Linked DNA regions of Sus scrofa. The protein of the gene in region 1 interacts with the protein of each later gene in a pairwise test. Links are inferred from orthologs where the notes say so. Each region holds a gene or a part of one and is shown on either strand. Other genes may lie near its edges.

Region 1 (4,546 bases):
TGGTGACTCTGACCTTCCTTCTCTTTGATGATGCAGATTAATAACTTGAATGTGGAAGAGAGCAGCAGTGGGGATCAGAGGCGGGCCCCACTGGCTCCAGGGACCTGGAGGTCTGCACCCGTTCCAATTACCACTCAGAGCCCACCTGGCGCACCTCCCAATGTTCTCTGGCAGACCCCATTGGCCTGGCAGAACCCATCAGGCTGGCAAAATCAGCCAGCCAGGCAGACCCCACCAGCACGACAGAGCCCCCCAGCTAGGCAGACCCCACCAGCCTGGCAAAACCCAGTTGCTTGGCAGAACCCAGTGATCTGGCCAAACCCAGTGATCTGGCAGAATCCTGTGATCTGGCCAAACCCCATTGTCTGGCCTGGTCCAGTTGTCTGGCCGAACCCACTGGCCTGGCAAAATCCACCTGGATGGCAGACCCCACCTGGATGGCAGACTCCACCAGGCTGGCAGGGTCCTCCAGATTGGCAAGGCCCTCCTGACTGGCCACTGCCCCCCGACTGGCCACTGCCACCTGATTGGCCACTTCCCACTGACTGGCCGCTCCCACCTGACTGGATTCCCACTGATTGGCCAGTTCCACCTGACTGGCAGAACCTGCGCCCCTCACCGAACCTGCGCCCCTCTCCCAACTCGCGTGCCTCACAGAACCTGGGTGCCTCACAGCCCCGAGATGTGGCCCTTCTTCAGGAAAGAGTAAGAATTGTAACTGCAGTCACTTTCCCTCTCCCTCTTGCTCTTTTCCCTCTTGTCAAGTGGCCTGTAAATCGCTTATAACTTTAATGCTTTCTTTTTTCCTTCTCAGGCGAACAAGTTGGTCAAGTACCTGATGCTTAAAGATTACACAAAGGTGCCCATCAAGCGCTCAGGTGGGCATCCAGTGCCCTCTCCCAGAGCTCTGCCCTGTGTGGCCATTTCTTTGCTCATGTCCCTTCCCCTTCAGTCCCCTCCTTCTGCAATTGAGTCTTCCTTTTCCACCCTTGAGGACATTGCTCCCCTCAGCAGGGCTGGCAAAGAGGTTGTAGTTCTGTGGCCTCAGCTCAGGTGCTCCCTCCTCTCTCCTGCAGAAATGCTGAGGGATATCATCCGTGAATACACTGATGTGTATCCAGAAATCATTGAACGCGCATGTTTTGTCCTAGAGAAGGTGAGAAGGCAGCCCTGAAGGACAGGAATGATGGGGAAGGTTTTTTTAAAAATAGATATTATGGGAAAGTCTCGATTTCAAAGATTTCATAGGATCCCTACTGGGAATTTAGGGTGAGTGTCACAGGGAGGGGAGTGACTGAATATGGGTAGCTTATGCTAGATTTTGTAATTTCATAGTCTGATTTTTTTTTTGGTCCCTGTAGAAATTTGGAATTCAACTGAAGGAAATTGACAAAGAAGAACACCTGTATATTCTCATCAGTACCCCCGAGTCCCTGGCTGGCATACTGGGAACGTAAGATGGGAAGGGAGGTGGAACATGGCCTTTCTCAGGGGTGCTTTTTTCCTGGGAGTTTCAAGTAGGTCAAGGTCCAGGATTCAAGGTCACATAACAGGGTCATGTGCAGAACTGGGATAGAATTCTCTCCTAGCCTAACTAGGGAAGTGAGAGGGGTGAGTTGCCTGGGGCGTCGCATTCATATGGCTGTTGAAAATGTATTGTTTTTGTGCTCCTTTAGGACCAAAGACACACCCAAGCTGGGTCTCCTCTTAGTGATTTTGGGTGTCATCTTCATGAATGGCAACCGTGCCAGTGAAGGTGAGTGGCTGGACAAGCAACTGGGGGTTGGCTACCGCCTGATTTCCATGCTCATTTTCCGTCCCTTGTCTCCCCTTGCCTCCCATTGCAGCTGTCCTCTGGGAGGCACTACGCAAGATGGGACTGCGTCCTGGGTATGACTGGGCTCTCTCATCTCTTGCCTGTTTATATCATCCTTTGGTAACAGAGGATGGTCCCAGGATTGCATCAGCCTGGCGGTCTAGGGGAATTGGTTTGGGGAGGTACAGAGCCCAACGATGTGACCTGGGTGAACGGGAAATAGTTCTGACCTCTCTGCCTCTTCTCTTGCCTGTGACCTCTGTGTTAGAAAACGCTTTGCTTTTCTTTGGGCAATATCATAGTCTCTGATTATGAGTTCTTTTTTTTTTTTTTTTTTTTTTTCAGGGTGAGACATCCCCTCCTTGGTGATCTGAGGAAACTTCTCACTTACGAGTTTGTAAAGCAAAAGTAAGTGATGCCTAAGCGACTTTGTGTGGTCCTCATGAGTTCTGTGTGCTGGTCAGCCTCAGAAAGCCCCTCTTATGCTCATTTCTTACACTCACTTATACCTATACACAGGCATACAGACACACATGTGTACTCAGGAGTATTTATTGAGTATACTCCTTATAGTTGAACTTTTCTGCAGTATAGTTATCTTGCAAGTGGAGCCTGTCCACCATGCCCACAGTAGGTATTTCCAAGGCTGGGCTTGGCTGAGGCTTTTGCAGTGGGCCTATTTGTGGCTCAATGACAAAATTACAAGACCCTGGAGCTAGAGCTGTTGTGACAAAGGGGGTGAAATTAAGTGCTGTCCTTTCTATGACCCTACGCCAGTCACCCTCCAGCCCTGGGTGATTGCTGGGTGTAAAAGCACTGGCACAGGAACGTGAAGGCCTGATTATTAGAGGGTAAACAATCTGTTCAGGAATGAGACTGGGGGGAGTTGTACCTGAAATCTGGGGTGTCAGAATCTAGCATTATTATGCACTGATGGACTATCATTCTGCTTGGGTAGAAACAAAGGCCTTTCTGCTCTTTCTAAGGTACCTAGACTACAGACGAGTGCCCAACAGCAACCCTCCTGAGTATGAGTTCCTCTGGGGCCTCCGTTCCTACCATGAGACTAGCAAGATGAAAGTGCTGAGATTCATTGCAGAGGTAATAGAGGAACTGCTCCAGACTTGCTAGGTCAAGGGATGAAGTATGACTGGCTGGGAAAAGTCCAGAGCAGGAATGAGATCTTAGGTATCGCACATGTAGGTGCCACATCATTGGTGGCATTTGTTGTTGTTACTGTGCAAACAGTAGCACAACGTAGGGCGTTAAATATATAGCAGGTGCTTCATAAATATTAATGAATACTATTCTTGGTTTTATTTTCTATTCCTTATCTCAGGTTCAGAAGAGAGACCCTCGTGACTGGACTGCACAGTTCATGGAGGCTGCAGATGAGGCCTTAGATGCTCTGGATGCTGCTGCAGCTGAGGCAGAGGCCCGGGCTGAGGCGAGAACCCGCATGGGGATTGGAGATGAGGCCGTATCTGGGCCCTGGAGCTGGGATGACATTGAATTTGAGCTGCTGACCTGGGATGAGGAAGGAGATTTTGGAGATCCCTGGTCCAGAATCCCATTTACCTTCTGGGCCAGATACCACCAGAATGCTCGCTCCAGATTTCCTCAGACCTTCGCTGGCCCCATTATTGGCCCTGGTGGTACAGCCAGTGCCAACTTTGCTGCCAACTTTGGTGCCATTGGTTTCTTCTGGGTTGAGTGAGATGTTGGGTAGGTATATCACTTTGGAATTGGGCATTTAGGGTCATTGGGGATGTAGAGTCCATGGGAATGTATTTATGTGCTCTAGCTGGGAGTCCTAGGAAACCCATGGTGGGGAGATGAGGAAGGTATGGGGAAGCACCATTTGGTATTTTTGTTCCTTATTTGGTATATAGCATTGATTTTTAATTTTCTTTCTTTTTTATGTTCACAGGTATTGCTAATCAGTTGCAACAGTCTTTCCCCTGAGTGAGGCTGAAGCCTCAGAATCCTTCTAAACACAGCTATCTAGAGAGCCACATCCTGTTGACTGAAAGTGGCATGCAAGATAAATTTATTTGCTGTTCCTTGTCTATTGCTTTTTTCCCCCTTGTGTGCTGTCAGGTTTTGGTATCAGAAATAAACGTTGAAACTGCAAAGTGAGTTAGATGTGTTCCCTGTTTTTTTCTGTGTTTAGGGAGAGATCAACTTGTTTATATGGGAGAGACGGGGCCTCAGTTCTAGCCTAACACAGAGGCAGATTAGTTTTCTGGCTAATGGATTGGGAAACAAGGGCTTGACGAACATGAATGCTAATGAGATCCAAGAAAAAGTATGGCTTATTTAATAAATATCATGTAAGTGACTCATATGTGATAGATACTCTGCTAGGTGCTTTGGAGTGACATTGAAAGATGAAATAATGAGAGAGGGTGTAGGTGGTCAGACAGTTGCATTTAAGAAGACAGAAGAGGCAGAACTCCAGGTAATAATAAAGTTCAAAGAGTGGGTGGCTGAAGGGAAGGGAAGATGACTGTTCCCGGAGATAATGTTCTGGGGACTCCAGGGTGTTGGTTGTATTATCCATGTGGAAAGTGAATAACTCCAAGATGGGGGCAGAAATAGGAACAGAGAACACTGTGAACATGGTTCCTAAGTTTCCTGTGTGAGATGGAAGATCTCATACCCCTCATCACATTGCCCACAAACTGCAGGCCCACTGCGCCCCCCCCCCATGTCTGGAAATGCTGTCCA
Region 2 (4,505 bases), on another chromosome or scaffold:
GAACTTAATGTGTTTAAGAAAGTCAGATCTCCTTGATGTGGCTGAGAAGGGAAGAGATTTAGACAGAGAATCCAATTGTTTTGATTAGTAAAGTAACAGAAAATTTTAGTTTTTCTCTGATGAAAGTTTTGAGGGCATCCTGTTGTTGGGAGGAAGTAAAAAGATGAGAGTTGTCACTAGAGATGAGAGCCCTGAGCATCTGGTCCTACCAGCTTCCCTGATCCATTCTTCCCCCAGCACCCAGAGTGGATTTTTTTCTCCCCAGCTGTGCCTGTGGCTTGTGGAAGCTCTCAGGACAGGGATCGAACCTTCGCCACAGCAGTGACAATGCTGGGTCCTTAATCTCTAGGCCACCAAGGGAACTCCCGAAGTGACCTTTCAAAACCTCTAACTGAATCACGTTGTTCCCTCTCCCCTAGTACATTACCAGCTACCTAGAAGTTTCTCAGGGAGTTCCCAGCCTGGCTCAGGAGAAACAAATCTGACTAGTGTCCATAAGGAGGTGGGTTCGACCCCTGGCCTCACTCAGTGGGTTAAGGATCCAGCATTGCTGTGAGCTGTGGTGCGGGTCGCAGATGCAGCTTCTCTCTGGCTTTGCTGTGGCTGTGGTGTAGGCCGGTGGCTACAGCTCCGATTTGACCCCTAGCCTGGGAAGCTCTATATGCTGTGGGTGCAGCCCTAAAAAGACACACACATGCACACACAGAAAGTTTCTCAGTGACAATCTGCTAAGTGAATGAGTGAATGAGAACATTTGCTAGAGGGCTGGAGGATCCCTAAAGAAAAGGACAGCCATGGAAAAATTCTGTACTTACTAACACTACCTAGTAAGGGTGGCTTTGGACAATGAGGTTGAATGATCATTTCAAAGTGTTTACTTATTCCGTGTTTTACTGTCATCACCCCTCCTCTCCACCCCGCCTCCCCAAATAACCTTCAGCAAAGGTCTGCTGCACAAAACTGCACTATTTGGGGAGGATTTAGGAATGAAACCAGAAAATGTCTAGGCGACGTGCGAAACGATGTCTAAAGATGTTGGTCATCACAAGAGGAGCGCTAATGAACCGGGGGACCCAGAATTCAAAAGGAGCAGGCATTCCAAGTGAGAGGGGACCAGAATCCTCTGAACATTTGGGGTGGTTGTCATGTCGCTTACCCTGGGTTAGAACCTTGGGCCCTTCTTTTTGGCTGTTGAAGTAAAGAATTACCTGGGGGACTTTGGAGTATTTCACATCTCCCAGGTTACGTAAGGACGGCAAATATTTAACTCGTAGAGAGTTTTTGAGGATTATATTGGGATAATTCATATAAAGCGCTTAGCACAGCGCCTGGCACATAGTAAGAGCTCAGCAAACGTTAATTGCTGTTTTCCTCACTTTCTTCCAATCCCTCCACTCCCTTTCCGCCGGCTCCATTCATTCTTTTCCAAGGACATGCAAGGGGCGTGGCCATTCCTCCCTCCGCCCAACCCAAGCCCCGCCCCTCCCTTCTGCCCGGATTGGTTCCTGAGAGGCGGAGAGGAGGGAAGCGCCCAGTCCGAAGCGGTGGGGGCGGGGCGCATGCGCGGGCTGAGCCGGGTGGAGGAGGAGAGGAAGAGCTGCCGGAAGTAGGCGGCGGAGGTGGTGCCCGAGCAGGCGGCAGCTGCCAGGGAAACCGAGGCGCTGGACTCTGCCCGCGGACAGGCAGGCCGGGGGGTAGTCTCTGCGCCCGGCACTCAGGAAACCCGAGAGCCCCCCTTGCCTGGCGTGAGGGTTCCTGTCTGGTCCCGCAGCCCGGTCGGGACCCGAGCCTTTCCCTAAGCCCGCCAGGGGGCGCCGCCTTGAGGGGCTGCAGAGCGGGGGTCGGGCGCGGCTGAGGGGAGAAGGGGCGCCAGGCCGGGCCAGGGGAGAGGGCTCTCCCCCGCTCAGGAGGTGCCCCTGGGCGGGGACCGGGAGTCCTCACCTCCGGACTGAGGCAAGGGTTTCTGGGGGGCTCGGAGGGCGCGTCGCCCTCTGCCCCCGCCGGCACCCTGGCCATGACGGGCAAATCGGTGAAGGACGTGGATCGGTATCAGGCGGTTCTGGCCAACCTGCTGCTGGAGGAGGATAACAAGTTTTGTGCGGACTGCCAGTCTAAAGGTAGAGCATCCCTCCCGGCGGGCGAGGGGTCCAGCCTCCGGGCGGAACCGGGGAGGCGGACTGGGTGGGAAGAGGTCTCTGGAGCTTAGGTGGCCCCGATCCTCTAAATGGTAACGCGTGCTAGCCTTGCTGAAGAGGCTTCTAGGTGTTCTGCAGCGCAGGCATTGGTGTGGGGAGAGGTTGCGAGGGCGACTGTGGGGGGCGGTGATGGTGGGGGTGGAAGTGGCGTGGTGTGTGCAGGTGAGAATGTCTGTATTTCAGGGCTGTGAGTGAGTTCTGGGCCGACTGTCAGTCCAGAGGCAGCCGGGAGTTCACAGCCTTCTGCTTGCAAAGCTGGGGATGAACTGCAGTGAGTGGTGTGTGCGGTGTGTGTGTGTGTGTGTGTGTGCGAGAGAGAGCGCGAGAGAGAGGGGAGGAAGGGGGAGGAGGGAAGGGAGATGACGGTGAGAAAAACTGCTTAAATGATTTTAAGGAGGTGAGGGTTGCTGACTGCTATTTGGTTAGCAGCTCCTTCCGTCAGTTTACAGCCTTGCTGAGATCTGACAGTGCTTAGGTGGCTTTCCTCTTTCTGGATGTGTGGAGGGGAAACTGCCTTGTGCAGTGACACAGTGCGGATTTCTAGACAGCCTAGCCCTGGCTTGTGCAGTGTGTTGGAGGCCTGATGTGCGTGTGGTGGCAGAAACTAGCAGATTGTGGCTGTAGTGCAGGATCGGTTTAATCAGTGCTGAGAAGGAAGCAAAGCATGCTTCGAATTTGTTGCTTCCAGGGCAGCCACCCTTCTAAGGGGAAATGTGATCATTGTAGATTGTCAGAGCCATTTAGTCTTTGTTTTCTGTGCCCTCAAAGATTCAGGATTTGATACAATTACAAATCAGTATGCTAGGAAAGCTTGGTTATTCGTGAAATGTTTACACTCAATTTATAGACGATAAATATTTTGTTTCCTCATTTTCTTTCCGAATTCTTTGGAATATAATTGGAGTTGGGAAGATTCTTTTCCTTTTGGTTTGAGTAGAAAGGGATGCATTTTGGGAGCTATATTAATTTACTTTTGTTTGTAATGCAGTGGATTTGCCTGGGTTGTTTGCCATGTAGCATGTTGGACATATAGTGCAGAACAAAGATTCAGATGTATTTGTATTTATCAACATTGAGAAAGGAAGTACATGCTTAATTGATGCTTTCACTTAATTACCTTTCATTTTAGAGAAATAGGTTATGTAAGGAGATCGGGGAGAGAGACATTGATCAGGACGCTTTATAGTATATTTTAGTGCCCTTTCCCCATAGACAAATGGCATGTGCCATTAGGAAAGCAGGTCCCCAGACTTCTTTCCTAAATTCATTGGCAAGAATTCATTTTTAAAAGAGTTTTGGAATCAGTTTATGTTAAGTAGGTTCATTTTGTCTCTCGTGGACTCTTGTGAGATCTTGTGCTAGATCTAGTGAAAGATTTGGTTTAAAATTTAGGAGTATATCTCTTGGCTTTACTCAAATTCCCTTGTGTCCTCAGTTGACAGATCTTGAGTCACAGTGAAACAACCCACTGGAGAGAGCATTGCTACATTAGGGGAGTCAGATGCCATTTTGATGCTTTGTGCCACTGCAGCCCCGTTTTGCATACCACTCTTATCTTACTCATATTCCAATAAAACATAGCACATGGGAGAGAGGTTGATTCATCAGTTCTTCCTCCAAATTTTCCATTGCTCTTTATCAACAGAATTACTGGGGATCAGGTAATGAAACATTAGTAAATTAAATCTTAATGAGAGCTAGTGACTGCTGGCTTGTAAACTTTATTAACGGCTCTTGGCAATAGAATCCTGGTTCCTGAAACAATTTCTCTTCACAAATTAGTTTTACCTTTTGGCTTGGTGGCTTCAGTGACTTTGGCCATTGTATTAAAAATGAGATGACAGTGTGTCCATCAGTTGTCTTTCAGTTCAGTTAAATAAGGTATTTGTTCTCGGAGTTCCCGTCGTGGCACAGTGGTTAACGAATCTGACTAGGAACCATGAGGTTTCAGGTTCGATCCCTGGCCTTACTCAGTGGGTTGAGGATCCAGCGTTGCCATGAGCTGTGGTGTGGGTCACAGACCAGCTCGGATCCCACGTTGCTGTGGCTCTGGCGTAGGCCGGTGGCTACAGCTCCGATTAGATCCCTAGCCTGGGAACCTCCATATGCTCAAGAAAAGGCAAAAAAAAAAAAAAAAAAAAAAAAGTTTGTTCTGGCCTCAGTTTATTAATCTGTGAGTTAATCAGGCCCCTTCCACTCTTTCAAGGCCTCTCCTTCATTTTCCACTCCTTTTTCCTAATTTTGATTGTTGTCATGATCATGTGGACAACTTATCGGATCTTGGAAGGGAGAGACCCTTGCACCTGCAGA

The links.
Region 2: the proteins of MAGED1 (region 1) and SMAP2 interact in binary tests that used the Homo sapiens proteins (3 or more experiments, as listed by UniProt). The two-hybrid records come from large-scale screens. The link is inferred for Sus scrofa from reciprocal best matches to the Homo sapiens genes MAGED1 and SMAP2.

What each region holds. Positions count from the first base shown.
Region 1 is NC_010461.5:45,325,328-45,329,873, forward strand, and holds the end of MAGED1 (melanoma-associated antigen D1), read left to right. Parts: intron 1-36; coding exon 37-705; intron 706-814; coding exon 815-878; coding exon of another isoform or gene 879-1,076; coding exon 1,077-1,156; intron 1,157-1,361; coding exon 1,362-1,453; intron 1,454-1,676; coding exon 1,677-1,756; intron 1,757-1,847; coding exon 1,848-1,890; intron 1,891-2,161; coding exon 2,162-2,224; intron 2,225-2,802; coding exon 2,803-2,917; intron 2,918-3,155; coding exon 3,156-3,533; 3' UTR 3,534-3,541; intron 3,542-3,746; 3' UTR 3,747-3,955; downstream 3,956-4,546. UniProt on the Homo sapiens protein: Involved in the apoptotic response after nerve growth factor (NGF) binding in neuronal cells. Inhibits cell cycle progression, and facilitates NGFR-mediated apoptosis. May act as a regulator of the function of DLX family members.
Region 2 is NC_010448.4:170,760,886-170,765,390, reverse strand, and holds the start of SMAP2 (stromal membrane-associated protein 2), read left to right. Parts: upstream 1-1,594; 5' UTR 1,595-2,014; coding exon 2,015-2,117; intron 2,118-4,505.